Linked DNA regions of Schizosaccharomyces pombe. The gene in region 2 interacts genetically with the main gene of each other region. Each region holds a gene or a part of one and is shown on either strand. Other genes may lie near its edges.

The links.
Region 1: mutations in gst4 (region 2) and btn1 together harm fitness less than expected from each alone (positive genetic interaction), as found in Schizosaccharomyces pombe (one large-scale study listed by BioGRID).
Region 3: mutations in gst4 (region 2) and tom70 together harm fitness more than expected from each alone (negative genetic interaction), as found in Schizosaccharomyces pombe (one large-scale study listed by BioGRID).
Region 4: mutations in gst4 (region 2) and slx4 together harm fitness less than expected from each alone (positive genetic interaction), as found in Schizosaccharomyces pombe (one large-scale study listed by BioGRID).

The regions. Positions count from the first base shown.
Region 1 is NC_003424.3:2,048,587-2,053,377, forward strand, and holds btn1 (battenin CLN3 family protein), read right to left. Parts: upstream 3,163-4,791; 5' UTR 3,067-3,162; coding exon 1,876-3,066; downstream 1-1,875. Other genes in the region: protein Mil1, read right to left, coding at 1-1,574. UniProt on the Schizosaccharomyces pombe protein: Involved in vacuolar transport and vacuole pH homeostasis. Also required for cytokinesis.
Region 2 is NC_003421.2:1,396,276-1,401,677, forward strand, and holds gst4 (putative glutathione S-transferase), read right to left. Parts: upstream 2,474-5,402; 5' UTR 2,364-2,473; coding exon 1,350-2,363; 3' UTR 913-1,349; downstream 1-912. Other genes in the region: wtf element Wtf11, read left to right, coding at 3,104-3,260, 3,423-3,743, 3,791-4,021, 4,060-4,112, 4,169-4,201.
Region 3 is NC_003424.3:2,430,835-2,436,850, reverse strand, and holds tom70 (TOM complex subunit Tom70), read right to left. Parts: upstream 3,472-6,016; 5' UTR 3,460-3,471; coding exon 1,582-3,459; 3' UTR 1,228-1,581; downstream 1-1,227. Other genes in the region: SPOM_SPAC6B12.13 (protein phosphatase inhibitor), read right to left, coding at 263-384, 610-802; drc1 (DNA replication preinitiation complex assembly protein), read right to left, coding at 4,744-4,994, 5,035-5,667, 5,724-5,853.
Region 4 is NC_003424.3:3,115,582-3,121,750, reverse strand, and holds slx4 (structure-specific endonuclease subunit Slx4), read left to right. Parts: upstream 1-2,577; 5' UTR 2,578-2,750; coding exon 2,751-2,804; exon of another isoform or gene 2,805-2,888; coding exon 2,889-4,094; 3' UTR 4,095-4,871; downstream 4,872-6,169. Other genes in the region: protein Rng10, read left to right, coding at 1-2,372; glutathione S-transferase Gst3, read left to right, coding at 4,956-5,684. UniProt on the Schizosaccharomyces pombe protein: Regulatory subunit of the slx1-slx4 structure-specific endonuclease that resolves DNA secondary structures generated during DNA repair and recombination.

The DNA.
Region 1 (4,791 bases), on a different chromosome or scaffold from region 2:
GCAAGCGATTGAATCTCAGCATCAGAAATGTTATCATACCCAAGACGTTCTTTCAAAATTTTGGCAACCAACCATCTATACTGCAAATGACCTTCAACAAGATCCCCCACATCGACATTTTCTAAAGTATTTGAATCAAGAGAAACTGGTCCAAGACCAGCAGCCGTAGATTGCGCACTGTTGACACGATACACTAATTGTAGTACATAATCAGAAGCAGAATAGACATTTACGAATCTCCCAGCGACAACGCATCTCATTTTAAGCCATAACTTAGCGTCAGTCGGCATAGGGGCGCCCATTACTATCACATTTTCAACTAGATTCGTCTCACCACGGTCAGCCAAATGTAGTAAACACTCAAGAATTGTACGTGCACCAAGCGAAAACCCAATTAAAGTCACTGGACGCATACCCTGAGCTCTAACACAAAGCGCATTGGCTAAAGCTTCACCGGCTTTGATGGATAAATTAAATGCAATTCTCCAGGAATTGCCTAAAATATTTCCGACTTTCAAAAGTGATAAAGGCCATAAAGCAGCAGCAAGAGGAGCTAATATCGTTCTACTAATAACCTCTCCCTTTACCCAGCCAAGTCCAGCAGAAAATAAGATTCTGGAAAGAGATTTTCCAAGATCAACTAAAGCTTCAACTTCAAATTTCAAAGCATATATGTCTCCCCAATAATAACTTTTATCTCCAACAGTTAAAGATTTCCAAGCAGCGTCTACTTCGTTATAATCCCCAAGCCATCCTGAGATTCCAATGGTAACCGGTAAATGCGATTGCACACTGAGAGGTATGAATTCAAAATCAGTGAGTCCCTTAGATACATCCCCCATCTGTTGCATACTCATTTTGGCTCCAAAGCCTCCAAACAGAGCAGTGATCATTGGTGCCGAAGTAATCAAAGTGCCAAGATAGGTTGCTCCAATCATAGTTCCCAAACCTAGACCAGCAAATAACGTCCCTAACCCAGCTGCAACAAAAGGTGCAGCTAGTCCACCTGTTAACCCAATAAGAGCTCCACCTGCCAGTCCAGCGAGACCCATTGCAATCCGTCTTCTCATTTTTCGGGTGCCCGAAAGTTCATACATTTCTTGATTGCTTTCCATAGTTTGAAAAGTATCTAAAAGCATAGAAGAGGTGATAAGCTCAGCCTTATAAACCACGATAGAGGACAAGCCCAACTTCTCTGCAATACTATATAATAAATTACGGGAATAAGGAGAATAATTACCCAATGAAAGAATCAATAACAGTAGACATTTAATAAAGCACTCGCTTTTCTCTGTTTCGGAAAACTGCCGAAATTTTTTTACTTCTACTTGATCCTTTGGAGTAGAGGGATCCAGTGCGCAACCTGTGCGATTTACAACTGCCATTGCCCAAGTGTCGAAGTTTTCTCTAAAGACGTCCAATAATTGAGAAAGATATTTTACTATTTCAGGATCCGTGTTATCGATTATTGACTCTTTCTTCTCTCGCATTTCACCAATTGTACTAGCAATTAAAATTGTATAACGAGTACAAGCATCATCGTCAAATAAGGATATGATTTTCTGTTCTGCCATATTATCTAAAAGAAGGAAGATATGAAAAGGAAAAAATTAAGTAATGTATGTTTTGATATGATTCGCATAGAATGCACAGCAGAAAGTAATTGTGCACCAAAAGTTTAAGAACTTCTGGTATCAGGAATTAGGAATGAAAAACTTCTTCTTTCAAAGCAAACCTATTAAGAACTAAAAAAGTAAACAATAGTTGAAAGAAAATGGTCGTAAAGCAAACTTGATATTGAAGCACTTAGCACACTAATGGAAGAAACGTCATAGGTTAACTCTCAATATAATGGAGATGTGCGCACTCACTATTTCAAGTTAAGGCACACCAATCTCGGCCACGATCAGCTTGGAAATGGCACAAGGAGGGTTCAAGGAATAGTGATACCAATGAAGCTAAAAAAATTCCAGAGCTATCTGAAGAGCCAACAGTACTAATAGCTAGTTCACGCTGACTACTCTCCGTAGTCTGCAAACTATGATACACGTTCACATAAACGGTACCACCAATAAGACCCTCAACGAATATGAGGAATAGTACAAAATGATAGCTGGAAGTAAGATATAGGGCCGACTGTAGTATAGTAAATAGAAGGATAATGAACTGTGTTATTGCCAATGTGCGCAAATATGGGACAGTAAAAAATGAAATGGAGGATCGCGATAGGAAAACACCAATCTGGTAAACAGTTTGGTAAGTAGGATAAAAATCCCTAAACGAAGAAAAGCCAGCTTTTTCGGGCGGGAATAAAAGAGTGGGAGCTACACCAATATTGATAGTATATTCTGAGAAGTATACAAGGAACTGCGGAAACATATGACTAAGAAGGTATGGTTGCATGAATATGAATGTTTGCTTCAAAGAATTAACGAAATTGAATGAAACGTGCCCTGCTCGAAGATCAATAGATTCAATTGGCGTATAATTGTTGTTAATTGAAGGTGATGTAGATTCAGACTCTGGCAACACAAAAAAGTACATGATCAAAAGGAAAAGCGGCAGAAAGCTAGAGATAATAAGTGTGCTGCGTACCGAGAAGTTAAACCATGTAGTCATAACCAAATAGGAAGATGCACCAAAGAGACCGGCCAAGCCTGTTCCGGAACTCCAGCACGGTAAAGACACAGAGTGATAACGACTTGATAGATGCAAGAAAGAGATTTCGCCAAAACTCGATGAAATGGCTGCCAGAGATACACCAAGCATTTTCGAAGGGACGGAGGAAGACCAAGCAATCCATTGCATTCCTAATATGGACATGAAAACACAAAAACCGATTCTCTTTGCAAACTTAAATTTATGAACATGAAGAATTGATGCTGACAACTTGCACGCCAAAGAAGGAACAATATTAGAAAGTAGTACCACACCCTTAGAAACGTTTGCGCCAACCAAATCTAAGGCAGCGGATAAAATTATCACGTAGAGAAGGTTGTTTAACAATCCAAAAATTAGGAAGCAACACCCTACTTTCGCATCTTTTGTTAACCTCAATTTAATCATGATTCGTACTATATTTAGTAGAAACTGAGGTCATAAATTTTAGTTTGAACCGGCAATACGATAGTAGACTTTTGTAAAGTGCTAGTCTACAAATTTGCTGTTGTTTCGCAAATAGCACACTTTAAAGCCCTTCTATCGATGACTTCATAGACGAGTTAACTTGTTACAAACTGTAAATAGCGAGGATCAACGAACTGAAAAGCAAGTCGAGATATGTTTAACATTTATTATTCGAGTAGCAATAAGTTGAAGAAAAGAACTCGTAAGCGCTTAAGGGTACAAAAAAAATTGAGTTTTTAGTAACTTCGTAAGAGAAAGGCTACTACCCTTCACGAATGGCGTATTGAGCGATTGAATTATTACGGTAATGTTGTCAGGTTCAAAAGAAACCGATTTTGAATGTTACACTGTTTTTTCCAAGCAACCGCTATCAAGCTAAAGCTTACCCTACTAAAATTTCAACGACTAGTAACTGACATGCCTTGCTTGCTGTGATCGAAAAGCTCCTAGTTTACTCATGCTTCGGTTAGCACTTCTTGAAATCTCCCAGGAAAACAATTACAACATCTTTAAATATTCTATTCACGTGTCTACAGCTTCTACTTATGAAGTTATTGTTTTTGGCACGAGATTTATTTTGGTTTAATTCCGATCTTCGTTTGCTTATGTTTAAAAACTCTAAATCGTAAATCAAAACAAATTGAATATAATATCGTATGAATGTGTCTTTACCGAACTACGGTTAACATCGTTATTGCATTATCACTTTGCTCAACAATAATATAAAATAGTAATACGCATGTATCTACTATAGATATTTCGTATTGCTTAGTCAATTTTTTTTTTTTTTTTTTACTAAATGAAGGTTTGACGCTCCGTTACGACTGTTTATAATAACGAATTGGAAACCGAACCGAAAAATCATCTCGTTCATTATCAAATTTGCCTTGTTTGCTTTGACCCATAACACATTACATTTAACAGTAATGGGATCATTATGTTAGTTACTGGGAATTATATTATGCTTGATGCTGTACTACAAATTTATAATACTGTCCATAGAAAGTGCGATATTGGCGTTTTAACGAGCGTTTCGCTATCATTCTCTAGTTTACAAATCGCACCTCACCATGGTTCATAAATCCAGCAGCTACAGCAAACAGCTGTTTGCAGACGCACTTTAGAGTTTGAATTTTAGAATCTCTTTTAAGTAAAGCTAAGAGACTTATAATCTCTTAGATTTCCTTTGGTTTTATATTAACTTCAATGAGCATAATGAATTATTATGCGATCACAGTGCCATCGACATGTTTCAACATTTTTTAAGCACATGCTGTTAATACTATTTAATCCACTAAACTTACTAATGAGAGTATCCTTTTAATCTACTGATAAACAAAAGGAGTTTTCGTGCTGTAAAATGGTAATTTTACAGTACCACCCTCTCCCTGTAATCGAAAATGCATACCAGATATGATGATGCACTCATTTTAACTCTCTTTAAACTATTAAAGTATATTCCATCATTTCCGTACCCTCGTTTCAGAATGTTCATATGCGACTTGTATAAACAACTCATATAATCTGAATGCAAAACTTCCCTCATTGTTAGAGATGATCATGTGTAGATCATCAAGTAAAAAAGATGGACGATGTGCGCTTCAATGAGTTAACACTCGCATCAAGCTTTTGGTAAAGCCTTTGACTCCTATTTTTTTTGCTCAG
Region 2 (5,402 bases):
GATCATATCAACAATATCGACAACACAATTTAAAGCCAAGCCAGTAAATACTCGACAATCAAGCATACTAAAATTAACATTATTAAAAATCAACATTACTAAAATTAACAACAATCCATTCCAAACAATCAACGATATTTCCATATTCATTTCTTTTTCTTTTCTTTCATTCCATTTCTTTTTCATTTTCTTTTCACTTGGTTTCTTCAAAATCCTCTTTTCGTTTGTTTCTCTCTCCTCTTCCCCTGTCCACCTGACTTTGACTCTCGCCTCGCTTTCCTTAACGCTTCATTGGACCTCCTCCTTATCTTAACGAGCTTTTGTGTACTTTGGTGGAGTTTTAAGATTCTGCACTAAAGTAGCCCTCCACCAATCCCCGTCCACACAGATCCCAAACGAGGGGAACAATTGCCACACCCCTTCGGTGGTTGGGAGGCTTGCCGTGGGAACCTGACAGGACAAGTTCTTGTAGCCAATCACAGACTCATTGATAACGGCGGGGCATTTTGTGGACAAAAGCACGATCAGCGGATGGACGAGAACTTCAGGCTTAAGGAGACGTAAGGAAGCGGTCAAAAGGTGTACTATTTATAGAATTTCCCACTTTTTTTTTCTTTTACGCGGAAAATCTTTTTTAGGTGGAAATTGCAACTCGTTAAAACGGGGTAGAGATTGGATTGGATTGGATTGGGATAGGGATTGGATTTTGGTTTCGGTTTCGGTTTCGGTTTGGGGTTCGGTTTGGGGTTCGGTTGGTTTTCGGTTTCCATTTCGGTTTCGTTAAGGGATATGTCAAATCCAACTTGAACTTGTTTTGAAAACAACTCTCTTTTACTGTTTCTTTACAATTCCTTTCTCAATACAAATCCAATACGATACTGTCTTGCACTGTTTGGAATAGCATTAGCATTAGCTTTATTTTACCTATTTTATTTACTTTTCATTTCCTTTGTAATTGCTGTGTGTTTACTTTTTACGTTCTTTTCTATGTCGCATCTGCATTTGCATTTGCATTCGCTTTCGCACTCACACTCGCACTCGCACCACACTCGCATTTTACATTCTTCTCGTCAACCTCCCATTGTACTTGTTTAGCGGAAATATCACTCGGTACTTTTTAAGCATCTTCTTCTCTCTTTTCAAACAATTCGGTCGGTTGAAGCTTAACTAGTTTAACGTTTCGTAAACGAAAAACCCGCAGAGACATTGGTATTGCACACAAAAAGCACGCATCCAAACAAAACAAAACAAAAATTCCAATCCAACTCGTTGAATTGGAATTTTCAACCCCATAACCAATCGTTCAACCCAAATTCCAACTTGTTGGAATTTCTTCAAAAAAAATAAACTCAAAAATATTCGACATTGGGAATGGGTCCAAGAGGAGTAATGCCTAATGGATTGATTTGGGTGTGACTTTGGGTGTAATGACATTTGATGTGTTTAAAATCTGTAGTTTCATGAAACGCCGGATGCTTCCAGTATAGTCTTTTCAACCATTGATTGATATGAGGATAGTTGTGACGAATGGTACCAATGTTGCATTTAAAGTGTTGTACATATACCGGGTCAAAGCGTACAATCGTCGTATACAATCGCACATCCGTCTCTGTCAAATGATCTCCAAGAAGAAACGGTCCTTTGCTTTCCTTCAAAACCTGCTCCAGTCGATCGAGCCCTTGAAACACAACGCGCACGTTCTTCTCGTACGCCTCTGCCGTCGTGGCAAACCCCGTCTTGTAGACGCCGTTATTGACGGTATCGTAGAAATAGTCGTTCAACTCGTCAATCTTCGTCCTCAGCGACGATGGATACAAATCGACCACCCGCTTCTCCTCATCCTCAATTACCTCGTTAAAGGCATCATTAAACATACGGATGATTTCTGCACTCTCGTTGTTCACTATCGTGTTGTACTTGGAATCCCACAGCACCGGCACTGTAAACCGCATATTGTAATTGGGATCGGCGCGAAAGTATAGATTGCGAAGGTACGGACTGTTGTACAAGGGATCCCCTGTACTATCGTTCTCCTTATCAAAGTTCCACCCGTTCGGTCCCATAAGCCAGCCTACCACATGCACAGGGATCACATTTTCTAGACCCTTGAGTTTTCGTACAATCAGTGTTCGATGAGCCCAAGGACATGCATAACTCACGTAAAGATGATAACGGTCCTTTTCTGGCTGGAAATACTTGTGCTCAGGTGAGATTCTCTCTCGAAAGGAAGATACTTGTCTTCGAAATTCGCCATCCTTTGAGCTCCAATCGGTAATATGAGTGTTGGACATGGTTCTGATGAAAAAACGTTGCTGTACCACTCGATTCGTCAAACGTGAAAATTTTCTGCAAAGCAAATCCATGCCGAATTTATACAGAGGCAAATGGCAAGTACATGAGTAAGCATGGTGTCATGGGGTCCATGGTTGGGATTGTATCGTTCCCCATCCACATGGCCATTCATCCATTCATTATTAGTAAGACTGATTTCATTGTGGAAGATAAATTAGAAGAAAGAGTGGAAGTTTAACGAAGTAAAAGGTGCTGGGATGTTGAAGAATTGCGATGCATACCGTGTACGTTGTTAAATGAAAATGGCAAAGTACTTTAAGAAATACGTTGCAAGATTTTAGAATGGTAATGCCTCGCATCGCTTTAGCTCGTTACTTGCATTCACACTCGCCCTCTATGTTGGACGTTCAGTTGCCTTACAACCTTACAGCAACACAAATTACTTTACGTAGCGAGCAGTTTACGGATTGCTTTAGTTAGCAGTAAACCCCGATATAGCGTTTGGATGATCGACCATCGATCGTTACACACAGCGAAATAAACAAAAAAATCATTGTGACAAAATGATGGTGTCAGTAAAGAAATGCAATGCCTCATTGAGTGTTGTTCCTTTTTCCTTTTTCATGAATGCCGTTATTTGAAAAAACTTATTTGACCGACTTGCTTGGTTTGTTAAAAGTCGTTGAAAACTAGTGGAATTCAGTTACAGGTTGATTTTTAGATTTCTCTATTTTGTTTTGTCTTGATCTAGCAATTAAAGTATATTTGTGCATAAATCTAATTGAACTTACAAGTTATCCTTTCCTTGAAAATGAACAGCAATTACGTTCCCTTGACAAGTTCGGTAGATGTGGAAGAGAAAATGGAATCGGAAAATGGAGTTGATTTAGGAAATGATATTGACTTGGAAAAAGGTTTACCTCTAAAATACAATTCGGAGAATGAGAGCGGTTTGCCTTCAAATTCAGGTACGGTTTATTGTTTATCATAAAAAAATGCAATAGTAAAGAAAGTTTTACTTCTTGTCTAACTGTTAGTGAACGTTATGTGCAATCAACTCTAGAATAGCACGCACGTTCGTCTTCCTTTCCCAATGAACTAATTTTTTCATTTGTATTAACTATTCGTAGCTTCTTCATATTTAATCAATCCTGATCCTACGATGGACCTTGAAGCGCAAACGTTCAATCACAATGAATCCACGACCTCTGTAGGCCATGACAATAGCAACTCTCCTCCTAAATGTCGGAAAACTTGTTCATCTAATAAGGTGTATAGTAATGAGGTGCCTCTGTTATTTGTTTTTGTGATATCTATTTCCATAGTCTGTATATTTGATCTTGTTATCTTTGGTTGTCTACAGTATAACATGGTTTCTATGGACGATTTACACGTAATGCAACGTTTATCGTGGTTCTGTGCTAGCCTTGCTCTTTTGTTTATTTTAATGCGTAAGTGAGACATGGAATTGTACTATACTCAATAACTAATTCATTAGGCTACTATGATTTTTGGACCAAGGCATGCAAAGATGGAATCAAGCACATTTTTAAGAAGTGGAAAAACACGCCTCTTGCTTTCCTTCAAGTGCTTATATTCAACATCATTGGCTTTTTCGTGCGAAAAGGTCTAAAAGACAGTTTTGGCGAGCAATGGGGGTTGAAAACATCTCTCTTTGCCCATGTTTCCTTTGCTACTATGAGCATCTTTATCTTCATTTTTGAAACATGTTCGTTATATACCTGTTATTATATTCTAACCATGTAGTAAAACCAGGATCATGCAGTGTCGATTGGATCGCAAGGATATTGAAAGCGGTGGTATGTTGCATGGGAGACATTTTATGATGAGTTGTTTTACTAACAAAACTTTATAGGTGTATTTTCTTGAAGATTCAGATGAATTGTAGCATTCTCGTTATGAATAAGATCACTAAACAAGTTGCGACCTTTGATTTTATTGCATACTTTGTCTGTCATACGAATGGCATTGACTAGCAAATTGCTTGAAAGTATTAACGATTAGTTTAAACTACTCATTATATTTTTGCATACGAGAGCTTTATGATGATCACCACGTAGAATAACCGTTTTCAGAAACAGTTAGCTCAACTTATGAAATTATAAGATTCATTACTTCACAACCTCGATCAAAAGTTGTTTCATTAATACTTTTGCTATGTACGGTTTTCCCTCCATTTTGGTTTTTCTGATGAACCAAACATGTCGCTTATTGTATATGCTTTAATTCAAACAAATTTAATGTTTACAAAATAATGAATAGCATAATAAAACATTGTGACTGTCAGCAATACTACACTACGCTATAATACACTACGTTGCGTATCACTATATGTCACATGTTCTAATTATATATAGTACCATGCATGATACGATATTGAGATTGATCTTAATGATAATCTATTAAGATCTATATTATCTGAATACTATAAATAGAGCTACTGCTGAACCTCGTTCCTCAGTTCAGTTATGAGCTATATTAGTGATAGGTAACATTATAACCTAATTAATACAATACCTATACTCAGTTGCTACTCATATAACCTGTGTAATGTAATATGATAGATCACAAGGAAAACTCACCGCAGTACTACGTATCCTTAAATCAGATACCAAATTGCGTAGCTGACATTATATTATACTACAACGTTTTGCTTCTCAAAAACGTTTAAGGAAAGCTAAGTTGGGGTGAATAAAAAGGGCAGTGACAAAATAAATGTGTCAGAAGTAATTCACTGCCTCGTTCTTCTTTTTTTATGCCATTGTTTGAAGGAATTAGTTGGAAATTTGTTTGAACGATTTTATTATTTTGTTAAAAAGTCTTTAAAGCGATTGGAATTGGACTACAGAGCGAATATTCTTGAATTCGCTGTTTCGTTTGTCGCAATTATAGCAATTAATTCGCGCATGTATTTTATTAAATAAAGAATGATCTTATTATTATGAAGAATAATTACACTTCCTTGAAAAGTTCTGTAGATGAAGAAGATGAATTGAAGACAGGACATGAAATTGATTTGGAAAAAGGACCACTCCCAGAACATAATTCGGAGGGTGAGAGTACACTACCTCCATATTCAGGTAAGCGTT
Region 3 (6,016 bases), on a different chromosome or scaffold from region 2:
CATACATTTGATGTAAAGTTCATTAAAAAGAAAAAGATGAGTATCTGGCTAACGTTGAAAAGCATAAAAGCTGCTATCATTTATTGTGGGATTTTTCAAAACCTTTACAAAGGTATGACTGCTAAAGCCATCGAGATTCCTTTTCAAAACGTATTTTAAGTTTCAAAAGTAATGTTGGAATTGGGTTTTTGGCATATTAAGAAAAATACTTAAGACATATGACTTATATCTCATTTTCAATATAGGGGACTCAACGAACAACCTAAGCGCGTTCATATGCATTGCGACTGCAACATGAGGAACAAGAGGAATCCGAGTCCGAATCACTATCTGAATCGGATGAACTTTCATCAAACTTTCTCTGTTTGTGAAAGATACAGCACACTAGTAATATTTAGCATCACATCATGTTAAATCCTTTAATTTTCTATGTTCGTGTATCAAGCCTCTAGTGCTTTGATAAATCAAAGATAAAGAATGTAGATATGTATAAATAGACTCATACTGTCCAATTTTTAAAATCAATATAAGTCTGAAAGTTGTGCTTGTTGCCAAAGGATGGAACAAGGCCTATTCTCTTCTTCGTAAAATCACCAGAACTTCACTTACCTTTCGATTTCTTTTTATTCATATGCTCATTATCTACAGTGCTTACCGTCCATCTAACTCTTCTGACTGGTTCCGGTTGTAAATGGAGCACATTCTCAGATTCTTCATGGCTTATTGACGCGGATTCCTCCGTACTTTCAATGGTAACTGTAGCTGATGAGGAGATATCACCTAACGGTCTTGTGAGTTCCATGGGAATTGTCAAGATTACGTTGAGTGATAAAACACGAAGTTCACTGTTTTATAAGTGAACCTTCAGTTTCGTTAACCAACTCTTCCTCTCAAGCAATTGCTTCAAGAAAAACAATTTTAGTGTAATTATTATAAAATTCCTCTGTTGTTTGAAAGACGATGGCGAAGAGTGGTGTGCACTTCAAGATGCTTGCTATTCTCTAATAGGATATTCTTCTATTCCTTTTTCTTCACTATATAAGATTGTGAGAAATCGTTACTGCGTTATATCTCCCTTAGGTTACATCTCCCTTGATGACGAAACCAAATATTGTTTTCCTAAAAACCTTCAGCTGCCTATTTCAACTTATTTGGTAAAGAGAATTAATAGACACCTACCATTTTATATTAAATTAGAGTCCTAAATTATGATAACATTCTGTAATGGTTGAATCTCAATGGGTATAATATTTCATTGCTATTGCTGTCGTTAATAAATACACTACCTACTAAACATGAAGTACAAAGAAATAATAAGTTCACATTTTAGGGAGTAGCGAACAAAATATCATTATTGCTAACCCTAAGAATCAAGTTAAAATCAAAAATCCGTCAACCAGAATACATTAGCAAACATGTTCCGTATACAAAACTTCGTTTGGTTTAAGGATTTTCAGCACTTGCTGTCATCCAAACAAAAAATTTCCGAGCCACATTAAAATTGGAACCTTTTTAAAGCATTCAAAATGTTTTCGCCAACTGCTTATTTTGACTAACAGTAATTCTCATATACAATCTCGTTTACATAGGATTGCTTAAACGACCAACCAACTGTGGGTACTTTTCAGTCAAGGCAATTTGCGTACGAGTAGCCTCAGCATATGAAAACGCATTCACCATTTCACTTTCAGTACGAGCCAGTTGTGCAGATTTCTCGAAATATTCAAGGGCTTCACGAGCTTTACCTTGTTGCAATAGGAATTGAGCCATACTGGCAATTGCAATATCACATTCGGGATCAGCCGATAGAGCCTGTCGACAAAGATTTTCAGCTTGAGATATATCTTTCTTCCATTGGAATACAGCAAGAGCCTTATTAATCAAAGGCATTGCACTCATAATTGTTAGATGTTCTCTCTTCTCAAGCTCAATTGCATGATCAAAGTTCTTGACAGCATCATCGAACTTTTGTTGATCTAAGAGTATTTCACCAAAGTAATTATAAACTTCGCTTGAATTAGGGAACCTCTTTTTACAATCTTCAAATGTCTTCATTGATTCCGCAATTGCATGAGTCTTATATTGAGCTACTCCAAGTTGGATATGGCTATAAATAAAAGAGTCATCCAATGCAATAGACTTTTGATAATCAGAAATGGCTTCTGCAAACTCACCAGAAACAAACCTAACTTGTGCACGATGATAATAAAGATCCGAATCGGTTTTATCAACAGATTCTGCATCATTCAGTACCTTCCACATTTTTTCATTATCATTTTCATCTAAATAAGCGGCTGAGAGACGAATATATGGTTGAATGAACTTGCGATCTAATTTAATAGCTGCATTAAAATTTTCCATCGAACCTTTAGAGTCACCAGATACAAATTTAAAAGTACCAACTAGATTATGAGTGCGAGCATTAACCGAAGGAGATGAGAAAGATCCCAGACAGGATTCCTTTGCTTTATCGTACGAAAGTTGATATTCACCCTTTTCTAAATATTCATAAGCCTCTGCTAAAGCAGCATCACCGTCAAATTTATTATCAAACAAAGGTTTTGGTTGAGCATGGAATGAATCGAGATAAGTCTGGATAAAGCTGGCAGCTGGCAATTTAGGAGGACGTTCCTTTAAAAGAGCAGACGACTTCTTTTCAGCAACCTTTTTTAACAATCGTTCAACGGTAGCAGTCATACTCTCATTAGCGAAGCCATCGAAAATGCAGGAAACGGTACTATCCATAAGGGCTTCATCCAATTTACCAAGTTGCTCATAAGCAGCAGAACGACGATTTAACGCTTTCACATAGCTTGAATCAAGTGAAAGAGCTTCACTTGTATCCTTAATTACTTGCTCAAAATCACCGATGGCTGCATAACAGGCTGCACGATTAGAGAAGAAAATAGGGTCATGAGAGCAGGTGATAGCCTGAGTATAATAGTCAATAGCATTAGCATATTCCTTTTGTCCATAAGCCTTATTACCAAGAGTCTTTAACTCGGCAGCCAATTTTGCCCTTTCCTCCTTCGTCATAGATTTTACCGATTCCTCAGTAGCAATTTTATCGACAGAAGAATCGCCGACCTTCTTGGCTTTAACCTTTTTTTTATTCTTCTTCTTCTTTTTTGCAGCAGCAGCAGCAGCGGCTGCTGTTTCAACATCCTTTCCAGTTTCTGAGCTTTTAAGATCCTCTTCTTTTACGACCTTTGCAGCTTCATTTTTTCCTTCATTAACTTTGGATTCAGCCTTATCTTGATGAGCCTTAAGTTTTTTAGAACGTTTATGACTAGCTTTTTTCTGTTGTACATGATAAACACCCCCAACTGTAGCAAAAACGGCAACAGCACCAATAGTGTAAACAAATGTCCTATGGCGCCTTACAAATGCTGAAACGGAATTTAAAACTCCAGAAGACACAATTGCCTTACCATTTTCTGCATTGGATATACCAGACATGGTATTGGTTTTGGCTAGGTTGGTACCGATTCATGACCACTATACTTCAGCAAAGTGAATGCTACCTTATTGCATTGCTAACGAACTGCAAAGCACATTCATTGACAAAGGTTAAGGAACTAAAACTTGATTACGAAGTGATAGAAAACAAAAAAAGAAACGGTGAACAGCAGTTTAATAGGAGCTATTATTATGAAATGGTGATAATTTGCACAGGTGCTAGTTTTATTAATTCTACTCAATTCCGCATCAAGTAGGAATTTAAAAAAAACTGCTCCAGCAGTGACTTGAACACTGGGCCTCTTGCTTACTAGGCAAGCGCTCTACCACTGAGCTACAAGAGCTGATGTTATCCCCGTATAAAATACAATATATAGAGAGCGTAGTAAAGAAGTTTACCTTAAACAATGAAACGTATTGACTGTATTTGTTAATTACACAATGCACTTCTTTTGGATTCTGATTATCTAGAGCCCTTTTATTTGTCTTTAAAAAGATTTGTTAACTTGATTGTAGGTTGAACTATGTTTTGAATACAATTGAAGAGTTGCGACCAAAATCTATTACAGTTGTTGCCTGTATCTTATAAGCTATCTATTATTTAAAGCATGGTTTCTTAAGTTGTAAATGACATTTGGAAATGACTATTCATGTTTTGAAGTTTAGCATCAACGTATGGTGTTTAGGTTGTCTAAAAATTTAGTTAAGAGGAAATTTGGCATCGCTGTCCCCTAAGGATGAATAAGCTATGCAAATCCATGTAAAGTAATGATGATATTCAGCTTTCATGTATTCCTCATTTCAATAGATCCAAACTTATTTGAAGCTGTTTTTTTATTTGTCTTTCTCGCCAGCTTCAATATTGAAGGTTCGATTTTTTTTGTACTTCTTCTTTCCTTACGTCCTCATGATATTCGTATATCAAAACGTTCCAGTCTTAGATTTAATGTTGGACGAATGCCTACGTAAAAATATAAAACGTTTATCGTTCGATAGTAACTAATTTGATTTTACCCGAAGATTAAGAACAAGAAATATATGATTCATTCAAACTTTTATATTTCCAAAATTTTTTTAACAGGATACCACAAACTCATGATGTATTATTTCATTTAAATCTCAAAAACCCACAAAATCTATTTCCAGGTTTTATTGAATGCATGATTTATTAAATATATATACCTCTTTAACATTCATTGAAAAAGTGTATATCCTATTAAGGAAGATCAGAAAGTATGTGTTTTTTTAAATACAACAGCAAAGTTCCGATTGACAAATTATATGTTAGCTTCTGTGACGCCGAAATTTACGTTTTTTTAATTTGTAAGAGGAATAATTCTGGCTTACTTGTTTTCCAATAACAAGCCCGTTTCTCATAATCTTTTTATTTTGTCGTTCACTCTGCAGATCTAAAAATGGTGACGAATCTTTGCTAGCAGTTGTATCTTCATTGTCGTCAATGCCATTTTCCGCATCTTCGTCTATTTCAGGAAGACCTTCTAAATGACTTTTGGAAAGATTCATTGAAGGGGGCACTAAAACGTTAGTTCAGGTACAAACAGGAGAAAACCTTACATTTAACAAGACGATTTTGTCGTTTAATTTTTTTCTTCATAGGTTGTGATATGTCTCTATCTACAAGGCTTTCTGAAGATGAGCTACTAAAGCTTTCAAACTCCTGCAATATCTTCTCTTCATTTGATCCGTAATCATCTTCAATATCTTTTAACTCACGAAGCATTTCACTGAGACTTTTTCGGCATGGCGCATTAACTCGAAGTAAGTTAGGAGATGTATAAACTTGAAGGCGATATGAAGAGGGGGTTTCAAGAACGGTGGGAGTATGTTGAGCCACAGGTTCGGGATTTTTTGATGGAGTAGTCGGTATCATAGTTGATGAAATTTCACTAGTGTTATGTTTTATATCCGAAATTTGATCCACATGAGAATCTGCAATGGGAGACATGTCTTCAAGAAGGTTAAGTACTCGACGTGACAACTGTGGAGTAGGACCTAAAAGACTTTTATCCACAGTTTTCGGAGTAACCTGTAGATAATCATTTCGGGGCGCTTTAGGACTCTCGTTCGCTTCAGTTTCAGCACGCTGTTTTGTAGGAGTTTGAAACTTAAAGTCGACCTTTGTTTTTGCTTTTTTAGGGGTAATGGAGGATTCGCGTTTCAACTCGTAGTATTGCTTATATAAAAGCGCTAAAAAAGTTCGTTAGTTTGCTTCAAAAATTCAAGTGTATCTTTGGCTTACATACCTATTTCTGGTTGTTTCTTCACATCCTCCTTAGAAGGTTTGCAATTGTTCGTATGGACGTACTCATGTTCCCACTTCTTTAAGAGCGCTTTTATACTAGATATTTGTTTAGTTCGTGATTCATCGTGCATGATTTGCCAATTAATGCACTGCCTGGACCCAATTTCAATTTTGTAGTGTTCGATTCAAACAACTGCAAAAACAAACTCAAAACAAAAAGAGAGGCTAATCTACATAAACATATATTTCTTCTAATTCTATATGTGGAGAAATACCATTGCACAGAGTTTGATA
Region 4 (6,169 bases), on a different chromosome or scaffold from region 2:
ACGTATTTGCTCGTGCTCCAAATAAGAACCGATTCTCATTTGCTTCAGTTGCAGAGACTGGTAGTGGCTCCAATTTTTCCAGGGCTACCTCTTCCAGAAGTTCAAAAACTCGTAGCGTCGTATATGAACCTAATCATAGGCATACCAGCTTCTTTGGGGACACGCTTAGTAACCTATCTTCCTCGTTGAACGATAAGAAATCTCCTAATGACGATCATGCAGTACTAGATAGCGAATTAATGGAGCAAACTTTGCCGGACTCTGCCGAGGCGGTAGAAATTGCTAATAATGTGAAAGAAGATATTGTTTCTACCGCTAACGATGATGCCAATGAATTGGATAATACGAGTGAAAAAGCTACTTTGGAAACTAGTTCAAAGCCTGTTACGGAACAAGCAATTGAGCAATCTGAGGTTGTTCAAGAAGTCGAGGAGGGAGATACGAACATGACTACTAATACAATTTTGAAACCAACTGACGAAATTATTAATAAGGGTTATGCGTATTCTATAACAAGCTCACACTCGAATCATTCAAATGAGAAGTTTGAACAAATACCTAGTCCTGATGAAAAGCTTTCTCGAACAGATATTGACACTCATGTCAAGCAATTACAAACTACTAAGTCAACTGATAGCTTGTCTATTCCATTTGTTGAGTCTCCGCAGCAAAACCCAGAGGAAGAACTTTCGGACTCACTATCTAACGATTTTGGAATCGATGCTGAAAAGGAGAAGGATGAAAACCTCTCAAAACCGGAGCATCATCCATCTATAACTTCTGTAAATTCACCATTTCTTTATTCTCCTAGTAAGCAGCCCTCAGGTGAGTTGGATGAAGAAAATCTTAAACTACGATTACAAGATTCAGATGTGGATGATGAGGTAGCCACAATTCGTTCACTTAAACAAAATAATGCTACCAATTCGGAGGTTGAGACAGTTACGAACGATCCTTCTTTCTCCCAACAACCGGGTACTCATAGTCGTATTTTGCGAAATTTTGATGCTATCAGCTCTATCGATTCAATACCTGATAGCTTTTCTGACAGCGCTGTCGATTTGCCTGTCGATTCGTCAAAATATACCCTTGTTGGAAAAACTCAAAGTAATTCCAATCTACTTCAGGACAATGCTGAGAAACATATTTCAAAATCGAACCTTGAAAAAGTTGATGTGAAAGGAGATACATCACCCAATTCTGTCGAGCAAGGGATTGAACCTCAAGCTGCTTCTGTTGTTGGATCTCCACGCTCTTCTTTGGTTTCTAACAACTCCCTAGAGGAAGGAGCACTATTGAAAAACTCAGAAAGCTTGGAAAGTATCTATGGTTATCTTTCGGAGGAGCCCGATCCAGCTCTTACCAAGTTGAATACCGAAGACCCTTTTTGGACTAAGGGGTCATCTGACGATGAACATACAATAGCCTCTGTAGAACAAGACGTATATCCATATAAAACTAGTCTTCCAACTATTGTTGAAGCGACTACTTCTCACACTGAGTCAAGTAACTCAAAGGCTCCCGCAATTGAAGAAACGACAACTACAAAGGTCGAAGTGGTAGCTGCTCACGATGCAGTTTCAATATCCAGTAATTCCAGTACACATAAGTCTCACTCTGAACCATTAAATAGAGATGAGTTAGAAGTTGCTGCCTTAAGCCGTGGATCCTTGCCAGAACCTCCAAAACCCAACAAGCAAATAGTCGTTCAGGAAGAGGATCAACGAGACACACTATCTCTAAAGACAAGCACGACAGGTTTATCTTCTCATTCTAAAAGTGCTGAAAATAATTCAACTCAGCAGTCGACCACTTCTCCTAGCATTAACTCCGGTGCTTCAGCGGATGCTGTTTCTTCTGGAATTTCCAAAAAGGCTGATAATAGTGAAACTAATTTAAATTACTTTGCTACCTTAGATGCGTTTGTCAAGAGTCCATTGATGTCGTTCGATGGATTGGGTGAATTAGGTTCTACCGATCAACGTTACAACTTTTTCAATCAAAAGATTCAAGAATATTCAGCATACGATTCGGGCCTTGATAATTGGATTCAGTTTTGCTTAGAAAAAGATGGTGAGGCTCCAAAGGAAGCTCCTCCTCCTCCTCGTTCTGAGCCAGTTTCAACTACAACCAAACTTGCCAAAAGAATTACGCAGCCTTCGTTGAGTCCTGCAAGGTCAACTGTTACTATAACTCACAACATTGCTACTGAAGCAAAAAAGAAGTCTAAATCTGCTGCTAATGATATTTTACATTTGTTTAAGAAGAAAGCAAAAAGTGAACAATCAAACGCCAAGTCGTCATCTAGCTCTATCAAAGAATCCAAAAAGATGAAAACTCTTTTCGGAAAAAAATTGGGATTCAAATCATAAATCTTTTGCATACACTTTTTACCTAACTTTTTTCTCTCTTTTGTAATTTTCTAATTTATGTATTGTTTACGAAGCATTGCATTTCAATCAATAAGATTTTATCTAAATATTGTTTCATTTTCGTATTGCGCATTTTTGTGAAACCATTTAGTTATTTTTATCAGACGATGAGTTAAAATATCAAGCATATTCTGGTTTTGCTGCCACTTGTCTAAACCAAAATAAGAAACTGGACGAAAAACTTTCGACAAATTCAGGCTAGTACACAAAACAAAACAATCGAAATTAAATATTCATCATTTTTTGGGATATTCTTTCGTTTTCTTGGTGTTTTAGGATTCTGAGTACGCTGCTTTCAAGCTAAGTTTCATTAAATGGATGTCGGCTGAAGAATACATTGAGGTATCATCTTCTCCTGATATATTCACGGACGTATGAAAAAAATATGATATTCTATAGCAAATGATTAGAAATATTACATTGAACTGAAGTAAATGTATATTAACTGAGCTTTAGGATGATGACATGATAACAATAGAGCCAGAGCTAAACAAAAACCCTAAAGATTGTAATAGTAAACGAAAAAGATCTGTTACTGAATGTTGTGAAATTAGGCTGATAACTTCTAAATGTGATTTTGAGTCTACTCAACAGCTTGTGCATCACAATTGTACGGGACATAAGGTTCATGAGCACAACTTAAACGCTGTGGATGAAGAAGATTTTGATACTGAAAATCTCCCTCTTCTTTTTTCTTCCTTTAGCGACAATGAATCAGATATCTTAGAACCCGATCTTAACACTCGGGTAGCTGAAGATAATGATGTCCTTTTATCTAGATACAGCAAAATTAAAAATAGTGCTTCATGCAGAAATACTTTCGAGCACTCTGCATATCACTCAAATAGGGAAGAAATATCTTCTAGTGGTTTTTATTACCATAGGAAGCCTCAATTGTTCGAAAAATCTTTAGAGAAGTTAGGAAATAAATCAATTGAAGCCAACAGGAGTCCTCTTATAAAAGAACTTTGTGAATCGGCTAATTCTACTGAAAACGTTTGTTTTTCTGTTTCCACCGTTGATGAAATTCAGCAAAGGCATCCAAGCGCCGGTCATTCAATAGACTCAACTTGTCAGTCAAACTCGTTTCTTGAAGGCGATAGTGCTACACATAAGAAAAAAAAAACGGACAATATTAAAGAGTTTACTTCATGTGAATTTAATGACCGTAGCAGAACCCTGTTAAACTATGCCGGTTACATGGACACTAACAAAAACGCTGATAATGAAGCTAAATCATTAAAAGAAAAGTTGGAGAATTTTCCGGTTGAAAAATTACGTGCTATAGCGGAAAGTTATGGCTTCAAATCATCAGATTCGAAAGCAACTCTCATTAAGATAGTAGAATCTTGTTTGGATGCAATCGATAGCCGATCTCAGTCTAAAAAATTAGGCAAAGAAACTCCCCATGATTATTTGATAACTTCTACTAAAACAGTATTGGAGTTTGATGATATAGTGACACAGACTCATAGAGCAATTTCGCAAGTTGTTAAGCAAGCCAAAGACAATAGTGTGTGGATTAAAATTCTTACGTATTCTGCTATTGATGTGGAAGAATTTCAACTTTGGCTGAAGCGGAAAAATTTAAATGTTTCGCTAGATCTTATAAAGTCTTGGTGCGATAAGTATGGAGTACTCATGAAAGGGAGTTGGCATTAGCTAGCTAATCAGTGATTTTTGAGTGAAAATTGATGGTTTTTAAAGCAAAACAATATCATTTTTACAAAAAGATTTTGGATTTTTGAGCATCAAAATTAACAGCAAACAACCCAGCTTTAGATTTAAGTCAATTCAAGTCCTGTTTTAGATAAGAATCGTCCTTTGCAGCAGTGCTGAGGAAAAATCAAGATATCTTTTATGTGTTATAACGAGTAACATATATTATTGGAATCAAAAACTAATCATTATATCTTGCTTGGTCTTTGGAAACAGTTTGAACTGTTTGAGATAGCTTGTCTATGAACTATTTTGGAATATTCGGTATACAAATTTAGTACTATAACTTTTTTGTTAACACCACGTTTTACAAGGCAGTATACGTTGTTAACTATGAAAAAACCGTAACTCCAATTTATGTAAAATATGGCTTCTGTATTGTGATATTCAACCACTGAACTTCTTTTCATATGTCAGTCAGAATGCCAAGTAAATCCAACTGCTGCTCTTTTAGTATAAATGTACTGACTACAACAGTAAAATTGGTCTTTCATATAAATCTAGTACTGCACCTTTACAGCGGGCTCATGACGGACTAGTGATAGCAATTCAAATGAAGATGTTATTTCATTCCTATATCTACTGTATCTTTTTCTTAAGCAAACATAAAGTGTTTTGCGTATTTGTTGCATACGCCACTATATATTTCGGTGACTGACGTGCATATGAGGTGTAGACGCAGCAGCACCCATATATACATTCCAATTCCCACATACTTCCCTTCTTTGATCGAAATTATTGCATCTTAGAAAGTATTTATTTTGAGTATTCAATTTGATTTTGTTTTTATTTTTGTAACCAGATATGATTGTTTTACACCACTTAAAGAACTCTCGCTCTACTCGAATTGTATGGATGCTCGAAGAACTCAAAGTGCCTTATGAAATCAAAGTTTATGACCGTGTCGACGGACGTGCTCCCCCAGCGTATACTAAGTTGTCACCATTAGGCAAGAGTCCTATCGTTGTCGATGACGGTGTCACTTACATTGAAAGTGCAGCCATTTTGGAGCACCTGGTCAGAAAGTATGGACCGTCATTTAAACCCTCAGAAGAGGATGTTGCCGAATTGGAAAAATATGAATTATGGATGCACTTTTCTGAAGCATCTCTTATGCCATTTATTTGGGCAAGTCATGTTTTGGATCTTAGTGTGAACATGACTCCCATTTTCTTTCGTTATATTGTTCGCCAGTTTGTGAATGGGATAAAATCCAAGTATCTAAGTAAAGAAACATTTTTGAACCTTGACTACATTGATAATCACCTCGCATCGAACGAATACTTTGCAGGCGAACAGTTCACCGCTGCGGACCCGCAGATGTGCTTTCCTATATTTGCTGCTCAAAGAGATTACCTATCTCAGAAACCTTACAAAAATATTAAGCGTTGGATGCGGGTTGTCAGTGATAGGCCTGCATGTCGAATTGCTGCTGAAAAAGTTGAAGACAATACGTTGACTTTGTTTTCTGATGTGGAAAGGTACTCCCATCCCCCTACCCCTCCTCCCGAGCAAGTTCGCTCTGATGAATAAGATTTCTGCCGTGGCTCTTTTTTTCTTAAGCAAGTCGGCTTGAGACATACAAGGCTTCAGCAAGCTTACTTTTTTATTCTGCTTGTACGGAACTTATGCTGTTAATGTAGATAATGATTTGTACAATAACTAGGATATTGTGGTAACTACATAAAAATTTTTGCGACACCCCTTTTGAAATGATTTTCCGATGCAAGAAACAAGGCTTCGGTGCTTAAACGCTTGGACTTTTCTCTCTTTATCTGTCTCCCTCTCTATACATATATATATATATTATATACGCGTATACATCTAGTTTTGTGAATGGGAACATGTTACTGTTATTTAGTCTGAAAAAGAAGTTATGGTTACAAATCTTGTTTTTGATTTAATGTTAATTTATATATGACTACTTTTGAATTCAATAAGTTTTGCTGCTGTTGCATGAATTGTTTAACTAGGTAGTGAAAACTTAGAAGAGTATTTATTTTGTAAAGAATGCTTTA